Linked DNA regions of Oryzias latipes. The protein of the gene in region 1 purifies or fractionates together with the protein of each later gene. This does not show direct contact. Links are inferred from orthologs where the notes say so. Each region holds a gene or a part of one and is shown in the gene's direction. Other genes may lie near its edges.

What was found.
Region 2: the proteins of krr1 (region 1) and ddx18 purify together in Homo sapiens (affinity purification with mass spectrometry; 3 studies listed by BioGRID and IntAct, with this or other methods). This does not show direct contact. The link is inferred for Oryzias latipes from reciprocal best matches to the Homo sapiens genes KRR1 and DDX18.
Region 3: the proteins of krr1 (region 1) and protein KRI1 homolog purify together in Homo sapiens (affinity purification with mass spectrometry; 3 studies listed by BioGRID and IntAct, with this or other methods). This does not show direct contact. The link is inferred for Oryzias latipes from reciprocal best matches to the Homo sapiens genes KRR1 and KRI1.
Region 4: the proteins of krr1 (region 1) and ddx24 purify together in Homo sapiens (affinity purification with mass spectrometry; 3 studies listed by BioGRID and IntAct, with this or other methods). This does not show direct contact. The link is inferred for Oryzias latipes from reciprocal best matches to the Homo sapiens genes KRR1 and DDX24.
Region 5: the proteins of krr1 (region 1) and noc4l purify together in Homo sapiens (co-immunoprecipitation; 3 studies listed by BioGRID and IntAct, with this or other methods). This does not show direct contact. The link is inferred for Oryzias latipes from reciprocal best matches to the Homo sapiens genes KRR1 and NOC4L.

What each region holds. Positions count from the first base shown.
Region 1 is NC_019863.2:1,188,153-1,191,667, forward strand, and holds part of krr1 (KRR1 small subunit processome component homolog), read left to right. Parts: intron 1-1,212; coding exon 1,213-1,296; intron 1,297-2,369; coding exon 2,370-2,426; intron 2,427-3,025; coding exon 3,026-3,196; intron 3,197-3,280; coding exon 3,281-3,358; intron 3,359-3,481; coding exon 3,482-3,515. UniProt on the Homo sapiens protein: Part of the small subunit (SSU) processome, first precursor of the small eukaryotic ribosomal subunit.
Region 2 is NC_019879.2:1,178,027-1,182,224, reverse strand, and holds the start of ddx18 (ATP-dependent RNA helicase DDX18), read left to right. Parts: upstream 1-1,384; 5' UTR 1,385-1,438; coding exon 1,439-1,547; intron 1,548-1,891; coding exon 1,892-2,059; intron 2,060-2,141; coding exon 2,142-2,294; intron 2,295-3,067; coding exon 3,068-3,203; intron 3,204-3,295; coding exon 3,296-3,396; intron 3,397-3,465; coding exon 3,466-3,665; intron 3,666-3,747; coding exon 3,748-3,862; intron 3,863-4,198. UniProt on the Homo sapiens protein: ATP-dependent RNA helicase that plays a role in the regulation of R-loop homeostasis in both endogenous R-loop-prone regions and at sites of DNA damage.
Region 3 is NC_019866.2:21,186,434-21,190,670, reverse strand, and holds the start of protein KRI1 homolog, read left to right. Parts: upstream 1-1,436; 5' UTR 1,437-1,552; coding exon 1,553-1,637; intron 1,638-1,757; coding exon 1,758-1,834; intron 1,835-1,904; coding exon 1,905-2,007; intron 2,008-2,088; coding exon 2,089-2,191; intron 2,192-3,375; coding exon 3,376-3,430; intron 3,431-3,509; coding exon 3,510-3,559; intron 3,560-3,634; coding exon 3,635-3,734; intron 3,735-3,804; coding exon 3,805-3,882; intron 3,883-3,961; coding exon 3,962-4,074; intron 4,075-4,166; coding exon 4,167-4,237.
Region 4 is NC_019880.2:12,476,964-12,481,152, reverse strand, and holds the start of ddx24 (ATP-dependent RNA helicase DDX24), read left to right. Parts: upstream 1-1,378; 5' UTR 1,379-1,495; intron 1,496-1,620; 5' UTR 1,621-1,699; coding exon 1,700-2,489; intron 2,490-2,580; coding exon 2,581-2,994; intron 2,995-3,208; coding exon 3,209-3,362; intron 3,363-3,800; coding exon 3,801-4,189. UniProt on the Homo sapiens protein: ATP-dependent RNA helicase that plays a role in various aspects of RNA metabolism including pre-mRNA splicing and is thereby involved in different biological processes such as cell cycle regulation or innate immunity.
Region 5 is NC_019870.2:16,277,967-16,280,697, forward strand, and holds part of noc4l (nucleolar complex protein 4 homolog), read left to right. Parts: intron 1-23; coding exon 24-135; intron 136-2,681; coding exon 2,682-2,731.

The sequences.
Region 1 (3,515 bases):
CCTTATGGGTCTGGCCTTGTTGGGGCAAGGAGACTTCTGTGAACCGATGACCCAGAGAGCGATACCGTCTGGAGCTTGCTTCTGGTGGGGTCACCCTTGGCGGGCTGGTCACTTGGTGACGTTCCAGACAAACATAGACCCGCAGCTTGTTGGAACACTGCAAGGTGGCCCCCACTATCAAAAGTGTCCTGCGGAGGGCCAACAACACAGCCAGGGGAAACTTCCTTGTTACAAAACCGACCAGAAAATGAAGCCGGACTGCCCAATATGGTAACAGACCCCAGCTTGCCCCTGAGCAAAGAGTACTGCTTGATCTTCGTCAAACAACCCGTATTGCTACCTGGAAAGATGCAAGATGCATTAACAGAGGTGGTAAACTGGTCCTAGGATTGGGGCTTTCAATTTTTAGTGGATAAAACAAAATGCATGGATTTTACTAGGAAACATTGAGGATTGGACACACGGCTTTAAATAATACATTACATCAACTGGGGAAACATCCTACTGGCCTGTGTGATTGTGGGAAAAGGGAAGAAGCACATTCTAAATCACTGAATTGAATGGGGAAGAAAGACATCAGCTGGAGGATAGAGTACAGTTGCCAGAGGGAGAGCGACTGAGTTTGAGGAGGCTTTTGGGAGGGGAGCAGAATTTCAACAGAGTTGTTAGTGGTTTTCTGAAGTGAACCAGATAGACTGTTGAGAATATAGTTTTTTTTCTTTTTTAATTTACTAAACTAGTTAGGTAGTTCCCCAGTCCGACTCACACTTTTACACACTAGGTGTTGGTATTGCACCTTGACTTTGGTGCCTCCCGCTATGTAAACTACAAGAAGAAACGGGAGCCATTATTACAGGTAACCAGTGGAGGACAGAGGATCCTCTTACAGAAGAAGTTACAGGTCTGTGAGAGACAGAAAGCCTGCTTGTTTGTAGGTGACCAAAAACTTATATTCCACCATCATTTACAAAGAACTTTTTTTAAAATCCGACAATGTGATTTTCTGGATTTTTTTTTTTTCATTTTGTCTCTCAAAGTTGAGGTTTACTATGATGAAAACCACTGGCCTCTCTCATCTTTGTAATTGGAAGAACAAGGATGAGATGTTTGTTTTGATTGTTTGAAATAAACCCATTTCAGTTCCAAAGATGGGAAGTACGAGAGTTGCCCCTTGGACGTGAAAGATCATTTTCTGTCTCCATCTCTGTCCAGGCATTGGAGCTGCTGACCAACTGCTACGTGATGGTGCAAGGCAACACGGTGTCCGCGCTAGGACCCTACAACGGCCTGAAGGAGGTAAGACCACGGACGAATGGTAAACTGTCAATGAGGAACTTGTGCAGAAACAACGAAATTGTGTTCAACTTAAAACAAAAATATGATTACAACATTTAGTTTCATGTTTAACATGTCTGTTTTGAATGCGATTTCCCGCGTTAACTCTCTGTTTTAAATACGACACAGGGTCACAGACGTATTCGAGAACTGAAACATTGTTTCAACTTTATTAGCATGTGCTTTCAGGCTAATTTATTAAACTAAAAAAGAATTAAACTTTTTAGAATGTTAATGATCACATGGAATTTGTTTTAGTACAATTGCTGTTAAAAAAAACAACCAAAAAAACAGATTATGACAGTGATATCCTTTGCCAGAGCGGGGCAGGCACACTCACTCCAGCCCCTGAACCTGTCCAGGTGTACCGACCCCCCCCCCCCCCCCACCCCCCAACAGTAGCCGGGACGGGCTCCAGCATTACAGTGATCCCGAAGGGAAGATGGTGGATTATGAACATGTGGGAAAAATAACCAAATTAAAGAAAGCTAACTCAGAGCTAAAGTGGACTAGCTGGTAGCTGACCGTAGGGATATTTAAAAAAAAGAAAAGAAAATTGTTTTATTTTTAACCTGGTGACATTCATTTATTCATCTAATTTGATCTTATTTTACATCTAATGAGTGGAGTGACACGTCTGCTGCTGCTTTCTGGGCTTTTTTTCACCACCTCTGGGTCTGAAACTTTCTGCTGGTGCATTTCTTACTAAATGTAGACAGTTTCTGCTGTTGTTTAGTGCAAGAAAAACATTTGCTGGTTCTAATTACTGAATACAGATAAATGGGGATGAAATGTTGACATCTTGTTTGCCAAGTTCTCACTGCGGTTTGGGCCTGAAGCAAACAGTGTTGTCCTCTTCTTTTCAAATCAAACCTTTTCTATGTCATCATCATAGAAAATCATGCAAATGAACGTCACTAAAAATGTTAAATGTTGCCCAAAGAGCTTTTCTACAAACGTTCAGCAAACGGTAAGGTAAGCCTTTCTGTCTCATACATCGTATGTTTGACATGTTTGTCTTTTCTGCTCTGCAGGTTCGAAAGGTGGTGATGGACACGATGAAGAACATCCATCCCATCTATAACATCAAGGTACATTCCAGCTGCTGAAGCTGCACAGGAATCACAGAATGCTTGGAGAGACTGCATTCATGCCCTATGAGGACTTTCTCCATCCTTGTTCTGGATCTCATGACTGAAACAAGCCTCTCTGGGTTTGATGCCTGGAGCTGAGGGCATGAAAAACACTGCTACATTTATGCACCTTGTTTGTCCAACTCTCCTGTTGTTGTTCACACATATATCTACACTTTAGTTCAATGTTGAATTTTTTCATGTGGTTCCAGCAGTTTCTATATGTTGTTCACGTACTTAAACACTTTTAGGTCATTCCCCGCCCATGTTAAGGATAAGTCTTTTCTATTTGGCCTCTGTAGTCACAGCAGATCCAGATTTACTCTGAGTTTTGTTGCTGAAGCTGTGTTCATTAAAGCAGCACAAAAACCAATGAACTGCAACCTGATCACCTGTTATAGTGTTGCAGTTTGGAGAACAGAAACACTTCTTAATGTTACTGCAAGTGCAGTTATGGAGCACCAACACCAGAAGAAGTCCATGAATGTCTTCAGGAGGACCAAACTGACAATACGTGTATTTGGTTTCCCATGCATGCTGTTCTGTCTCGCCGTCAGACACTGATGATCAAACAGGAACTCTCCAGGGACCCAGAGCTGCGAACGCAGAACTGGGAGCGCTTCATGCCAAAGTTCCGCCACAAGAACCTGTCTAAGCGGAAGGAACCTAAGAAGAAGAGCGTGAAGAAAGAGTACACACCCTTCCCTCCTTCACAGCCAGAAAGCAAGGTCAGAAAGGCCTTGATTCATGCTCTCGCATATGTCGAGTTATGCTAACAGCCCAACATAACTCATCAATGCTGGCTTTTGCAGATTGATAAGGAGCTTGCCACTGGAGAGTTTTTCTTACGAGAAAGTGTGAAGAAGAGAAAGAAGATGGAGGAAATAAAAGTGAGGATCTTTTTTTACCTTTTAAACAATGCCAGCAGGTTTTTCATGATCTTCAGCTTCAGTAGAGAAGTGTAACACTGAAAGAAGAGGTTTATAATATTCACACTGGTCTTTTTTTCCCAGGTCAAACAAGCAGAAGTTCTGACTAAAAGGCAAG
Region 2 (4,198 bases), on another chromosome or scaffold:
ATGTGACCACTGTTCTAGCAGCTTTTTATAGAGCAGGATTTACTACTATTTATATATCGAATCGTTTCTTTCTGAAAAACATAAAATACTGTTTTTTGTCATTGAGCCTTCAGTGCTGTGAAATAGATGTTCTTGGTCGTCTCACCTCAATAATAGTCTGGATTTAAACACAAACGTAGAAATAAATAAAAAAGAAAGGTTAGAGACAATCTGGACTCAGATTTACAAGGAAGATTTTCGTTTTCTCTCCGTAACATTGAATATATAAAGCAGGGGTGGGCAAACCACGGCCCGGGGGCCATATGCGGCCCGCCAAACTGGAATAAATCATATTGATAATACTTTTTCATGTTTCTTTTCCCCCTGTAATTTTGGTGTCTACTATAGATGGTGCACTACAATAAACTGACCTTTGTCTGGGTGCAGAAAATTAGTCTTCATTCATGTGGTGTTGGAAGATTTGTTGTTGTTTTTTGTTCATGTGCATTTTCCAAGTTGGAAAATCATTTTTCCATCATTCCAGCACCACATGAACAGTTTTTCTAGACAATTTCTCTAAGTTTATATTTTTTCCTGAAGGACATAGACCTATTAATGCAATTGGCAATAAAATGAGAATAAAAGCCACGGTTCTGAAATAAAAACTCCCAAATGTTCAGATTTTATATATCAGTTTTCAATCAAAGATAAAGCATGTTTTCAATCACATTCTATGTTATTTCTTTCTCTTTCGAGGTGGATTACCAAAACACACCATGCCTCTGGTTAGGCCCTTGTGACAAATTTTACAACCCTTCGTGGCCCAACAGTCAAAAGGTTCGTCCACCCCTGATATGAAGTCAAAGGTCCATTTGGAAAAATGGGAAGTATTTTCATTTCAAGATTAAAAGATGTTTTCCAAAAACTGTGTTTTTCAGATGCTTCTGTAAACGGCATTAAGATCACAGGTGTCCACCCGGAACATTGAATTGGAGATTAAAGTTCTATCCCAAAACATTTATTAGAAAAAATATGATTATTTTTTAAAGATCGGCTACAGCTAGCGTTTTTTATGTGTTGGCAACAGGAAAAAGGAGAAGTGACCGTATTTATTATTATTTATTATTTACTAACGGAGTTAGTAAAAGTGTCAGTAAGAAAGAAGCGCTGCGTCCTCTGACCTCTGACCTGAACAGGAGAAAAGAAAACATTTGTAGTCCATTTGTAGTCCTTAAGCAGGATGGCGGGGTCATGAGCTTTAACATTTCCTTTTTTTCAACATTAAAGTTAACTGTTTATTATAATAAACATTTTCATTGTTGTAAACGTTTCAAGAGGCAAGCGCACGCGCAGACTAATCGGGTGGCGACACTCCACGGCTTTTCACTCAGGCGAAACTAAGCGGCAGCTTCCGGGGTCCTGGGCGTCATCCACGCAGACGCACGTGCGCTGTTCCACCATGGCGGACCTACAGATGAAACTGCTCCGTAAGAAAATCCAAAAACGGGCCGAGAAGAACAAAGAGCGCAAACTGAAGAGTATCCAGGCAGAGATCCAGGAGGAGACCGGTAAGAGATCCGGCGGCTCCGGTTTTACGGTGTTTGTGTGTCGGTCGTTGAGCTTTGTGGTACTTTAAGTTCTGAATGCTCTGACGAAATGCGGGCCTTTCAAACACACACATGTGTGTGTGTGTGTGTAAACTCTCTGACACTCACATATATCGACTTAACAGGAAAAGTGAGCGAGCTGTAACCGCCCAACATCCGAACTTTTTTCTACCCGGAGGCCCGCGTTGTTTGGCTTGTGTGGGGCGACTTCGCAGTGTTTGGACCTCCTCGGCCTCCGTCCGTCTGTGGAGCTTGTCTGTCCGCTGAACTGCTGTCCGTTTAGCTCCTCACCTGCTGTGTTGCAGAGGGACTGAAAAGAGGCTCCGACCGGCTGGAGGAGGAGCTGTGCGCGGAGGAAGAGGGCTCCAGTGTGGGACTGAAGAATGTCGAAGGGCCGGAGGAACATGCTGTGAAGGAAAAGAATCAGAAGAAAAAGAAGAAAAGAAACCTCGTTGTTACCGAAGGACCTCCAGGTAATGCTGGAGATAAGGTCAAAGAAAGAGCGGTTGTTGTTGTTTAATCTGGTGACCGCAAAATATAAACTTTGATCTGCAGCTGAGAAGAAAAGCAAGACCGTGGAAGATGAAGAGGACAAGACCACAAGAGGACACCAGAAAGAGGGCCAAAGTGAGGATGAAGAGGAGAAACCTTCAGAGGAAGAGGGGGCGGAGGATGAAGAGCAGCCTGAACTGCCTTCAGGTTTAACAGGTATTGATGCCAGAAGCATGAGCCGTGGTTCTGGCTGTGGTTCTGCTGCGTTTGATTGGCTTTAGTTTGTTTCTGGTGTCAGTTTGGACCAGGGCTGCACGAAATGAGGACAACTCGGGATATTACTGATCAATATTGCGAAAACGATATAGTTTGCGGTATATGAACAAACGGCAAAACAGCTAAAACATCATTCCCATTTCACTGCATTAGTTTAAATATTCTACTCCCAATGATCCTTGTCGACATCGGAGACAAACATCTAACATAAACGGCTCCACTTGATTGGTCAAAAGCACAAAGGGATTTATTTGATTTGTTAAATACTTCAAGCTGCCATAAGATTGTTTTAGCACATTTAAGGTAACTATTTATTGCATTTTTCGCCGTCTTTTGCGATGTGTCTTTCACTGCTTGGTGTGATTTCACTCATCCAAACTGTTGGCCGATCTCCAACCGCTTTCAAACAAACTCGGTTTGGTTAGAGTAGGAACAGGAACCTATTCGGATCCAACCCACGTGCAGTTGTTGTCTGTCTGCTTGTTTGGACCTAACAAGCTACCATAGTTGACGTTATTGAAAGAACGTAGCCGATGTGTGAAAGCGCTGAACAGAAACCAGTGAACTGACCTTTATTGAGTCTGGATGGTCCCGGTTGGGTCGGGATGGTCCCGGTTGGGACATTTATAGGTAACTGTAGATTGAGAGGACAGGAAGTAGATGGGAACAGCTGGAGGTGATGTGCAGTGACGAGGGGTGGCCTGCCGTTTCAGGAGCGTTCGAGGACACGGCGTTCGAGTCTCTGGCGGATCTGGTGAGCGAGGGCACACTGAAGGGAGTGAAAGAGATGGGCTTCCAGCACATGACTGAGATCCAACACAAAACCGTCCGGCCTCTGCTGGAAGGAAGGTAGCCATGAGTCCTTAAACGAGCGGGACATCAGAACGCTGGTGTGTTTGGTTTTGGGTTGAGGCTCAGTTGTTTGCCATGTTCTCCTGCAGGGATGTTCTGGCCGCCGCCAAGACAGGCAGCGGGAAAACCTTGGCTTTCCTCATCCCCTCCATTGAGCTCATTTACAAGTTGAAGTTCATGCCCAGAAACGGTGAGTCTCCACGAGAATGATGTGACTGTCATGGTTCTGGTGGAATCCTAAACCCGCCCTCTCCCTCAGGCACTGGTGTCATCATCCTCTCTCCGACGCGCGAGCTGGCCATGCAGACGTACGGCGTCCTGAAGGAGCTGATGACCCACCACGTCCACACCTACGGGCTCATAATGGGGGGCAGCAACCGCTCAGCCGAGGCCCAAAGACTGGCCAACGGTGTTAACATTCTCGTGGCCACGCCCGGCCGCCTGTTGGACCACCTGCAGGTGAGCCTCGCGTGGATCCGGGTGTTGAAGTTGGTGTGAAGTTTTGACAAATGTGCCCCCCCCCCCCCCCCTCTTTTCCCAGAATACTCCTGGCTTCATGTTCAAGAACCTGCAGTGTCTGATAATCGACGAGGCCGATCGGATCCTGGAAGTGGGCTTCGAAGAGGAACTCAAGCAGATCATCAAACTACTGCCGAGTACGAATCTCATTCCTGAGCGGCTTCTGCAGAGCCCCCGTGTCTGGGGGCCACACCCACTTAAGCACTTTGAACAAAAGGTCCCACTGTATGTCACAGATCCTGCGGGTCGTCCCGGCCCAATACGCTGAGCGAAGCCCGTCATAATGTTTATCGGGACACTGATCTGGTTTGATGCATGTTAGGTGGAACACTGAGGAAAAGCTTAGAGCCATAGTCCAACTTGAACCAAAGCAGAATTTTCCAGAGGCAAAAGTTTTCTATCTCCAACGTTAATTGAAGTTTAGACCACGGTCCGGGTGAATACTCCATTCTGATTGGCTGCAGGGTGTGATA
Region 3 (4,237 bases), on another chromosome or scaffold:
TGGACCTCCAGCCTGTGAGAAGGGAGCCTTGCTGCAACAGTCTCCACTGCAGCTTGGCCCTCTTCTCCAGTTTGGTTTTGATTTCACCACCTGTTTAGTTGTGTGTTGCACTTTAGTGTTTTGTATTATTTCTTCTGTGTAGTTTATGGTGTTGTGCCCACTCTGTTTAGTCCTTTGCTTTATAATTTTGTTGAAGTGAAGCTGTAGGGGTGAACTGCCATTTTCTTTAGTACATGTTTTCTCCTGTTTTTGTTAGTCTAGGGAGGTTAGTGTTTGTCATTGAGTTCCCTTTTTCTTTCATTTACAGGTAAGATTACATGTTTCAGTTAAGTGGGGTTTTGTTTGTTATTTTGGCCTTGGTTCACCCTGAAGCTTTTTTGCTTTACTTGTAGTTGTTGGTGGTTGTTTATTTGTAAATAAATTTGTCATTTTTGTATATTGACATTTGTTTGGTGTTTTAGTTCATGTTAAATTATCAGCCAAATCTTAACTTTTTGTGTTATGCCCCCCTAGGTACCCCTAGGGGGCGTAACACTATGTTTTCAATTTCATAAGTATAAAGTGTCTAACAGAACAACTAATTTTTTCTACTTCTTGAAACATCGGTGTAATCTTTTTCTCTTGAAGCTACAGAAATATCATTTAAGTATTGATTTCTAAACAGCTGCTTGTGAATAAGAAACAAAGGAGCGCTTTGGATAAGTCCTGGGAGTTTTTCTGCTCTCAGAAAGAGATGCTGATAATTGTAAAAAGGGCTTGATTCCAACAGATTATTTATTGTTGTCAGTCCATAATGAAACCGAGCCAGAAGAAACTTCCAAAAACATCCCAGAACAGCCCACACTTAGCCTGAACTGCTATGACGTCATGTGGTCTCACATTTGGCACAGTCCCTCCCACTCAGGTCCTCCCACATGCAGCAGAAATGCAGCACTGACCAGATACCTGTGTTTGTTCGAGTTTATGGAACGCTGTTGACATTTTTACTCACAGACCAAGTAGAGAATCAATGACATTTGATCAGTGAATTCCAACAAACCGACCACAACACTGACTGTTTTTTTTAAAGAAACCACTGAACATTTAGTTTAAAATAGTTATTGTTTTTATTGTAAACATGCTTGTTTTTATTGTCTTATAAATAAACGCATTTTATTGACAGACATTAATCATAACATATTAAAAGTAAATCTACACTTTATCCATTTTTAATTTTTTTTCCCACATCTTTAAGTGGTGATTTTTGCATCAGGGAATCTAACATTAATTTCTTGGGTTATAATATTTTTTTAAGTCTATCAAAAATGAAATCAGACAAAACTACTAATTGAAATAATTAAAGGTATTAATATCATAAAAAGAGCTTTTCTCTGTCAAATAAAAATAATTCTGTGATTCGTGCGCCCTCTGTAGGACATTTACTGCAATTGCTTCCTTTAGCGGAAACCACGTGATTAGGGTCCCACACATGCTTCCTTTGGCAGCTGGCATGGTTTCTATTCGCTAATGTCTGTTTATTTTTCTCAATAATTATCCTTTTTCCATTTTTAAAATGTCAGGCAAACGGGAACTAAAAATTAACACAAAGTTTGCTCAGAAATATGACAAATACCGACAGAAAGAAGAGCTGCAGAAACGTAAGCGTCTACCACGAGCTAGCTAACATGCTAACGACCCAGTGATGAAAAGTAGCTTTAAAGTTGTTTTTCAGGCTGCTGCCGCTTAAGAAAGACATCTTTTTGTTTTGTATTTTACAGTTAAGGACAGATTTGGGGACAAAAACGACGGGAGAGACTCGGACTCTTCGGGGTCCAGCTCAGACAACAGTGAAGTGGTTAGCACATGAGGTCTTCTAGACTAGCTGAGTTAAAACGCACTGACTGAGCTAAAGTTGTGTCCCGCAGGAGCTGGATCCCACCGTCGAGAGGGACTTCTACAGGATCCTGTCGCTGCTGAAAAAAAAAGACCCGAAGATCTACGAGAAAGACGCCAAGTTCTACTCTGAAGGTGGTTGTTTACATGTTTGCAGCAGCTAGCTTCTCGTGGCTTTTCTGCCCCTTCGTGAAACGTTTGTTCCTCTTTATTCAGACACTTCTCACAGCGATGAGAAGCCTTCAACCTCGAAGAAAGCTGCAGTGAAACCCATGTTCCTCAAGGACTATGAGCGGGCAGTCATCCTGGAGAAGGAGGGGTGAGGTCCTGTTCAAGAAACAGCATCTTTTCATCAAAATAACACTACAGAAACCTTTAGTCTGATTGTAAACAGGAAGTACTGCGCACAACTCTGCAGTGTTGGGATTTTAATAGTGAAACGTAAATAATGTTTCTATACACAATATTAAATGTAAATGGTACATGTCGTATACTTGTACAGCGCTTTTCTACCTTCCTCGAAGGCCTAAAGCGCTTTACAGTCACACACACATTCACACACTGGTGGCGGCTCCGCTGGCGAACACTGGCGCCAACCTTCCACCAGAGGCAAGGTGGGGTTCAGTGTTTTGCCCAAGGACAGGCAAGGTGGGAATTGAACCTGCAATCTTCCGCCCTACCACTGCATCACAAATCCCAAGAATTTAGTTTTGGGATTTGTGTGTTAATCAACAAAATGATGCAAAAATCAGTTTAGTCTTTTGAGCCACCACTAAGACAATAGTTGGGTCCAAATTCTACGGTGGCCCTGAAGTGTAAATCACATCAACCAATCACTCAACACAAAAGCATTAATTTTTCATCATTTCATAAACCAAAATCAATATTTCATTTCTTTTTTTGTTAGTTGGTTTTGGTTTCTGGAAAAGACTGCAAATGTTTTAATTGTTTTTTATTTAATTTCTGAAAGGTCATGTTTTTGTATTATTTGCTGCAGTCTCTCTGAGGTCCACTGGCCGGTGTGTTTAGCGCTTTGTGATGAGGTGTGAAGAATCCCTGATGGCGTTCTGCTCTGAATGCACACCTTTGAGGAGTGGTGTTATGGATGGAGATGATTTCCTCCACCACACACCTCACCATCACACATAGAGCTGGTTAGGATGCTTGTCTGTATGTGGTGAGAGCTGGAGGAGGCAGATACAGCTGCTGCTGCAACGTCTTAACAGAGTTTCAGTGATGTTCACTATGTTCACAGTTCTGAGAATGATGAACCAGGTGGGTTTATCCGTCAGATGTTAAAGTCTGCCACGGCGGGGGTTTTCAGCCAGCTCCTGTGACATCAGACATCCATCTTGATTTGCCTTTTTTCTTTGATGAAGAAGATTGAGAACCAGAACTTTGCTTCAGACTGTTTGTGGATCTCTATCTGCAGGATTTTAAAGAAAAAAAGTGAGGTTTTGCATTGAATACAGGTCATTCAGAAAAAATGTTTTCATTTGGCAGGAAATACGAAGATGATGATGACAGCGATGAAGAGGAAGCTGCAGAGAGAAGACAGGTTTGACTTGAAGTGTTTGGATTCAGGAGTTAAAGAGAGTAAAGAGGTAAATAAATATTTCTCTGCGCCTCCTTCGCAGAGAGCGGCTTCTCCCAGCTACATCCAGGAGCAGCGGGAGCTGAAAGCCAGGTGAGCTGAAAGCTTCTACAGGCGTCCAGCGCTCCTGCTCACTCTTTATTGACAGAAGTCCACCTCTGAACGCAGCTTCCGCAAGTTTGTTGAGGACAGCGACGATGAGGATGACGATGAGGAAGGAGGAACGTCGACGCTGCTGACAAGGAGGATGAAGACGCAGGAGGAGAAGGTCGGATGGGAAGCCCCGTCTGTGAACGTCTCCCTGTGGCTGAAACAAAACCGAGCTGCGTTTGTTTCAGGATGAAGAGGAGGCGGACTTTGTGGATTGGCTGAAAGGCCAGGCAGAGCTGGAGGGGGGAGAGGAGGTGAAGGACATGGTGAGTTTGATCAGGATGAAGAAACGCGTGGAGGACTCTGACTATCCAGCTCATGTTTGTGCTTTTTCTGTGGAGACAGAAGTACTTAAGAGACTACTGGAACAACCCGCAGCTGGAGGAGAAGGAGCGCTTCCTCAGAGACTATGTGCTTAACAAGGGCTACCTGAACGAAGAGGATGATGATGAAGAGCGGTGTGTTCCACAGAAGAGCTCCTCTGTTTCGTTTTTGTTGGGAGAAATGTCCGAACCTTTTTTTTTAAATGATGTAATTTGGATGCTTTCAGGATCCCGACCTACGATGAGGTGGTTCAGGAGGACGTGGACGACTCTGAGGAGGAGGGCGAGTCTTTTCTGG
Region 4 (4,189 bases), on another chromosome or scaffold:
ACAACTAATGACTTATGAACTTTTTTAACTTATAAAGGAATAAAGAGTTTTTTGTTTTGATTCAATGAATTTTTTCAATTTAAAAAGCGAAATATGAGTTTTAAAGGTGTTTTAGTGGTTGAATCTACCACAGATCTTTTTTTTTTAGTGTACTTCTGCTAAATACTATTATATGCATGAATTATATAGAAATGAATACAATAATGATTAAGAATTGTCTATTCACTTACTATTAAAGCAGTTTCAACTAAATGGTATTTCTGAAGGGTAAAAATCAGATCTCATGTAAATATTTGTGGACAGAATTATGTTTTACATTGATACATAGATGTTATCCTCTTAAAATAAAAACAAAACAATAAAAAAATATTAATATAAAAAGAAATCTACTTAAATATTATGATACGAATGTTGTTCCCTTGAGAGATGATTTCTCTCAAGTGATGTATATGATTTCTTCATCTGCAAACATTATTGTTAAGACAGGTATTGGCAGTTGTCAGTAGAAGATCACCTTCCTGGTTGCATTAAGTCAAGTGTCACGTTAAGTGGAAGGAGTATTATGATGTGGGGCTGTTTATCAAGAGATGAGTTTGGCCCCTTCAGTTCCAAAAAACATCTGAATTCTTTACATGTTTTCTGTAATTGACCTGCAAATCCAGGTCAATTTTGTTGTTTTGTAGTGTCACTTACAAATAGGGGCGTAACGATTTATCAGTTTAGTCGATTAATTGATTTGTATTCTCCAGCCAGATCAGTCTGCCTGAGGCAAGTTGTTAATCAAATTAACCTAAACCATTATAAAATCCTTTCAAAATTAAATAAATGGATTGTATCAATATTGGAAAATCCCATCTGGATTGAGGCCCTGTGGGTTCATTTTACAATAACGTAAAAACAACAAAGTACCATCACAGCGGACAACACAAACAAATACAAGGAATCTGGAAAACTTCACCTACACTGTTTAGTACCCAGATATATTTCGGCTTAAAGATTAAAACCTGGATTGATTTTAGTTCAGTGAATCGGATTGTTCAAAATGAGTCGTATCAGCAACCACGAACTACAGTCAGGACCATAAATATTTGGACAGACACGTTTTTTCTAATTTAGTTTCTGTACATTACCACAGTGACTTTTAAGTTAAACAACTCAGATGCCATTGAAGTGCAGACTTTAAGCTTTTATCCCATGGGTTGAACAAAAAGATTGCATTAAAATGTGAAAAACTAAAGCATTTTAGCAGGTTTTGCTTTGTTAAATGTTTTCTTGTTTATATAGCAGAGAATACATTTGGACATAAATGAGATGCTCTCTTCCACATACAATCATCGTTCTCACCCTTCTTTTCGGGCTTGTACGCATCCTGTGTTTAAATAAAGTTTTTACAAAACATGTGATCAGCACTGTCATGGCTGCGCCCTCGTGAACTGCATGGTTGTTAACGGTTGTGCGTGTATTTTGATACTTCATAAAGCTCCATCGAATCCGGGTAACGTACCATTGTATTCCTTGTTAATAATATAAAAAGCCTGTTCAATGCATTAGCAGTAAGTTGTAAACAATCAGTTGCGCTCATCGTCAAACGTAAAGGCTAACGGAAACGTCTCGTGTCAGATCTCACAGGTTCACTCGTCTTCACCTTTAGCATCAAAGATAATTCACATGTATTAAAACTGTAGAAAAAGTGAGAAAAATGAAGACAAAGAAAGTGGAAGCTCAAAACAAAAACAGCTCGTTTAGGTTAAAGACCCGGAGCATCCGCGCTAAAGGAACATGGAAAGCGGTCGAAATAGATCCCAGTGTGTTCTCGGAGCAGGGTTTGGAGGGTCTGGTGTGTTTTGAAGAGCTGAGGGATTATCGATTGATAGACAGCGAGAAAGCTGCAGCGAAGCAACTTCAACGAGAGAAGAAGGTGGCTAAGAAAAGAAAAGTCGCGGAGGAAGACGAAGCTGGAGAGACTCCTGCTGAGCCAGCTAAGAAGAAAGCAAAGAAGAAAAAGAAGGGGAAAAAGGTGGCTCCAAAGGAATCTGTGGGATCGGAAAGTGGGGATGCAATAGGAGAAGACAAGGCTGTTGATAAAGAGGCGGGGAAGGATGAGATCAGTGAGGACCTCTGTGAACAAGAACACCCCCCAAAAAGAGAAAAAATAAGGAAAAAGAAACTGAAGAATCATTCAGAGAAAGATCCCGTCACGGAGGAGCAGCCAAAGCTGGATTCTCCATCTGAAACAAAAGGTTTGAATAAAGGTCAAAATAAGACAAAACCCATCAAAAAGCAGACAAAGAACTGGACCTCTGCTGCACTCTGTGGCTCTGATGATGACAAACAATCTGATGTGAGTGCGTGGAAGGACTTGTTCGTTCCCTCTTCTGTGCTGAAGGCTCTCAGCAGCCTGGGATTTGAGTCACCGACTCCCATTCAAGCTTTAGCTTTACCCCCAGCCATCAGAGATCATATGGATGTCCTGGGTGCAGCTGAGACTGGTGAGCTAAAATACTTTTTTTTTTTTTTAAGTCTTGATTTTTGCCCCTTTGTTTCCACATGTTCTCACGTGAAGTTTGGGTGTCGTTGCAGGAAGTGGAAAGACGTTAGCTTTTGGTATTCCTATGATCCACGCCATCTTAGAATGGAAGCGCGGCACAGAACAAAGTCTTCATGACAACATCGACAAAACTCCCCCAAAGGTGGTGAGTTTATATTTACCATCAGTGGAGGAGTCTGCAAAATCAGAAGATGAGTCCACAGCTGTGGGGAACCAGGAGGGGAGTGTGGAGGCTTCAGATGAGGAGGACAGCTCAGCTGAAGATGGCAGCGAGGATCAAGATGAGAAAACAGGAAGTGTCTGCACGGTCAAAAATGCCGAGCGCTGTGTGGAAGAACAACTTGCTGGTGGCCGGTCTCGGCCCCTCCTGGGAATGGTCCTGACTCCCACCAGAGAGCTGGCTGTTCAGGTCAAACACCACATTGATGCCGTCACAAAATTCACTGGTGAGTCTCCATTCAAGGAAGCATGTGACCGCATTCAGCTCAGAATAACATATCTAATGAAGCAAAAAAAAGTGTTTACATCAATGTTGTGTGAGTTGTAACAGTCAAACACAGCCCATTTGCAAAGAATTTCTGAACAAATGGGAAGGAGATCTCTGCTGATCGTTGCATCTGCTGGAATACGTCTCCATGAGCTGCTTTTTCCATGTTCCAGACATCAAGACAGCCATTTTGGTGGGGGGAATGGCCCAGCAGAAACAGAAGAGGATGCTGAAACGCTGCCCAGAGATCATTATTGCCACCCCTGGACGTTTGTGGGACTTGATTAAGGAGAAGCATCCTCATCTGCTTAACCTCAGACACCTCCGGTTTGTCACCATTCAAACGCACTGATATTGATCTCCTTTCAGTCTGTCAAAATCTAAATTGTTGTCATTTAAATAAATGATTGGTCATCAAGTCATTACCGTACATTTAGGTCAGTAAGAGCTGCATTGGTTACAAACTAAAACACCTTTGTCTACATTTTCCACATAATGAGTTTCACACTTCCTTATAAGCTGCATTTTCTAGCTTACAAATGATGGTCCAGCACGTTAAAATGTCTACATTCAGCTCTACTATGTTGTTCAGTTATAGGTTTCTGACCCCAAAAAATGCTGGTATTGGAGGCTCAATGGAACCAACGACCTCTTATTCCTGAAATCGCAGCAGAATCTACCTATTACGGATTCCATTACGGATTCTGCTGCTTTGGGGACCGACCCGTTTTGTTTGACACTTTTGCGTTTTTCTTCCCGATCCAGGTGTTTGGTGATCGATGAAGCTGATCGCATGGTGGAAAGAGGACACTTTGCCGAGCTGGAGAGCCTGCTGGAGATGCTCAACACCACACACTTCAACCCCAAACGGCAGACTTTTGTGTTCTCTGCCACTCTGACGCTGACGCACAGCCTGCCCAGCCGCCTCCTTCAGAAGAAGAAGAACTTGGAGAAGAGGAGCAAACTGGACATTCTCATCGAAAAAGTAGGAATTAAGTCCAAGCCTAAAGTCATCGACCTCACCCGGAAAGAGGCAACTGTGGAGACCCTGACCGAGACACAGATCCACTGTCAGAAGGATGAGAAGGACTTCTACCTATATTACTTCCTGCTCCAGTATCCTGGCCGCACCATGGTTTTTGCCAACAGTATTG
Region 5 (2,731 bases), on another chromosome or scaffold:
GTTCTTCCATCTTTGTGTCCCAGTTGCCAAGCAACATGTATAAGAAACTCTTGGTGATCCTCCATGACTCTATTTTGCCGCACATGAGCAAACCTGCTCTGATGATCGACTTTTTGACCGCCGCTTATGAAGTCGGTGAGTTCTCTGTCTTCAATTAACCCTGTTGTGTTGGTGTGGAGGAAACTGCACTAATGTTTGAAAGTGTATCTCATTCAATTAAAGAAAAAAAAATCGTAGGTGATCTTTGTTCTAGATTGTTTTCTTGATTTTCTCTCTAGTATTTTTAAGAACTACAAAAGGAGATAACTACACACTACCTGACCTAATCTGCTCATGCAAACTGTGGGTTGACCTGCAAATCAAAGTTGAAAAGCCCCAATGTCAGGGGTCGGCAACCTTTACCATTCAAAGCCATTTGGACCAGTTTCCCACAAAAATGAAGATACAGGAAGCCGCATCACCATCAGGAAAACTCTGTGTTTCCAGTGAAAAGCATCATTTCACTCGTTTTTAAAGTTTGTGAAGAGATGTTCATTTTTTTTTGCATCCTCTGTTATTTAATGGGTTCTGATGAGAACCATTTGCAGAGTGGCCACAAAACTAGCAAATATGTCGTAATTAAGTAACAATTAATCTGCTTCTCCAATAGATTTTTGTCAACAAACAACTTTTTTTCTCATCTGAATCTGGATGTTTTTGGGCAGTTTCATTCTGGAATGTCTCGCCACATTTGAGACTTTGTTGTTTGCTAATTCCTCAGTACATATTAATTATACTGCTAAAGTTGTTGAAAGCAAACAAATCTGCCCAGGTGCCATTAAAGCAACAGTTTTCTCCAGGAACTTCAATTTCCTCTAAAATTTCCATCGTTGTCCCACCTGAGTCAGAGCATTGTTGGGATTACCGGTACTCGCCGGCGGGAGTCGTGGTCGTGGCACCGGTTGATAGTCACATAGAACTTTACTTAGAAAGTCTACATTCAGATTTTTTTTTAAACCTAAGACTCAGCCCGTTCATTTTTTGTTTTGTTTTTTTAAAATCATTTTTGTGAACCTTTCCTGTTCACTGCTTGCCGACCATAGTCATCAGCACAGGGGAGCCGCTCCAGGGACGAGCAGCTCGGTTGTTCCGACCCGCTCACAAAAATGCAACAGCTGGTTGACGACATGGTTTGTGTCGTCATGACGACCCGCAGAGGTTCTGAATGATGAGGCTTTTATTCACTTCTCATTCTACCTCAGTTGCCATGTACTGTCTTTTTAGAAGAACTTTTCATCCTGTAACAGACTCTGGTCCGTGCTCACAGCTGCAGACACGTTGTTAAAGGCACCACGTCAATCTGTCAACACAATAGTTCTTTTACAAAACCATAGAGAGCCGCAGCACAGGGATGAAAGAGCCGCAGGTTGCCAACCCCTGCCAAATGTGTACGTGTCATGGACATAATCCGTTTTGACAAACAAAAGCAGTTTCTCAGTAACTCGCCATAAATAATCTCAAAAATATCACAAGTTCTCATTATTGTTAAAATTACCTCCACAGAAATCACTAATATCGCTTTTCTTTCTCTCGGAGTGAACCAGCATGTCATATGGAAGCGATTCTGTAGCATAATTAAAAATAAAAGTCAAAACCAGAAATGCTTTTTCATTTTCAAATGAAGCTGCATTTTTTGACTCAGAATTAAAATGAAAAAGCAATCCACCAAAATGCTTTTTAATTTTCTTCTTCAACACCGCTTATTCTGTCACTTAATTAAATGATAATGAAAATAGTATTTGACATTTCATTTTCAAAAAGGTCCCTGGTAAATGTGTAGCATAATTCATTTAGAAATGTCTAATTTGACAATTAAAATGGATTAACAGAAATTCTTTTTCACTTCATTTAATTTCATTTCATTTCAAATGAAGCTGTATCAAATGACTCAAAATTAAAATGAAAAAGCAATACTTCAAAATGCTTTTTCATTTTATACTTAAAAACCGCTTATTCTGTGTCATAATTAAAATGAAAATGCAAAGAGGGGATTGCATCTGCATTTTCACATCCACCCTGCGAACATTGTCGCATTATTCATTTAGAAAAAGCATTTCCAGAGGGAAGGCGGGGCGATGACGTCACTGCTTTCTCCGTGTCTCCGGCTGCTAACAGACACAGACACACCAGGAGTAGCTTTGTGTTAGCGGCAGAGAAGACTGCTTTGTGTTGGTTGTGAACTTCTGATGAGTTTACACAGCTTCTCAGGACTACGTAGCAGCATGTCCACCTTCTGCGGTCCTCCTCCTGATGCACCGCGGACAAACCTTTTTTCTTCGGACCGGCAGCTGCCTTCGCATAGTGGAATTTAAATTCTCAATAGCTCTGAAGATGCTTAAGCTACAGTCACCAAACTTTCTGTACCGACTAATCATGACCTTATTGTCCGACAACAACAAATTATATAAAAAATGTGGTTACAATTTTTCAGATTAATTAGGACATGCAAAACACTTGATGCCACACCTTTGTTTGTCTCCTTGAAGGATATAACATGATCCGTTAAAATGAATCTGCTGTTTAATTTCAAGTTTTCTCCTTTGGCGCGCTTTCATTGTTTTAATGTTTCTGAAACAAACGATGTGTATCCAGCCCTCTGCTGTCGGGGCAGCCTCATTTAAGGTCTGTTTGTCATTGAGCAGGCGGTGCCATCAGTCTGCTGGCCCTTAACGGCCTGTTTGTCCTCATTCAT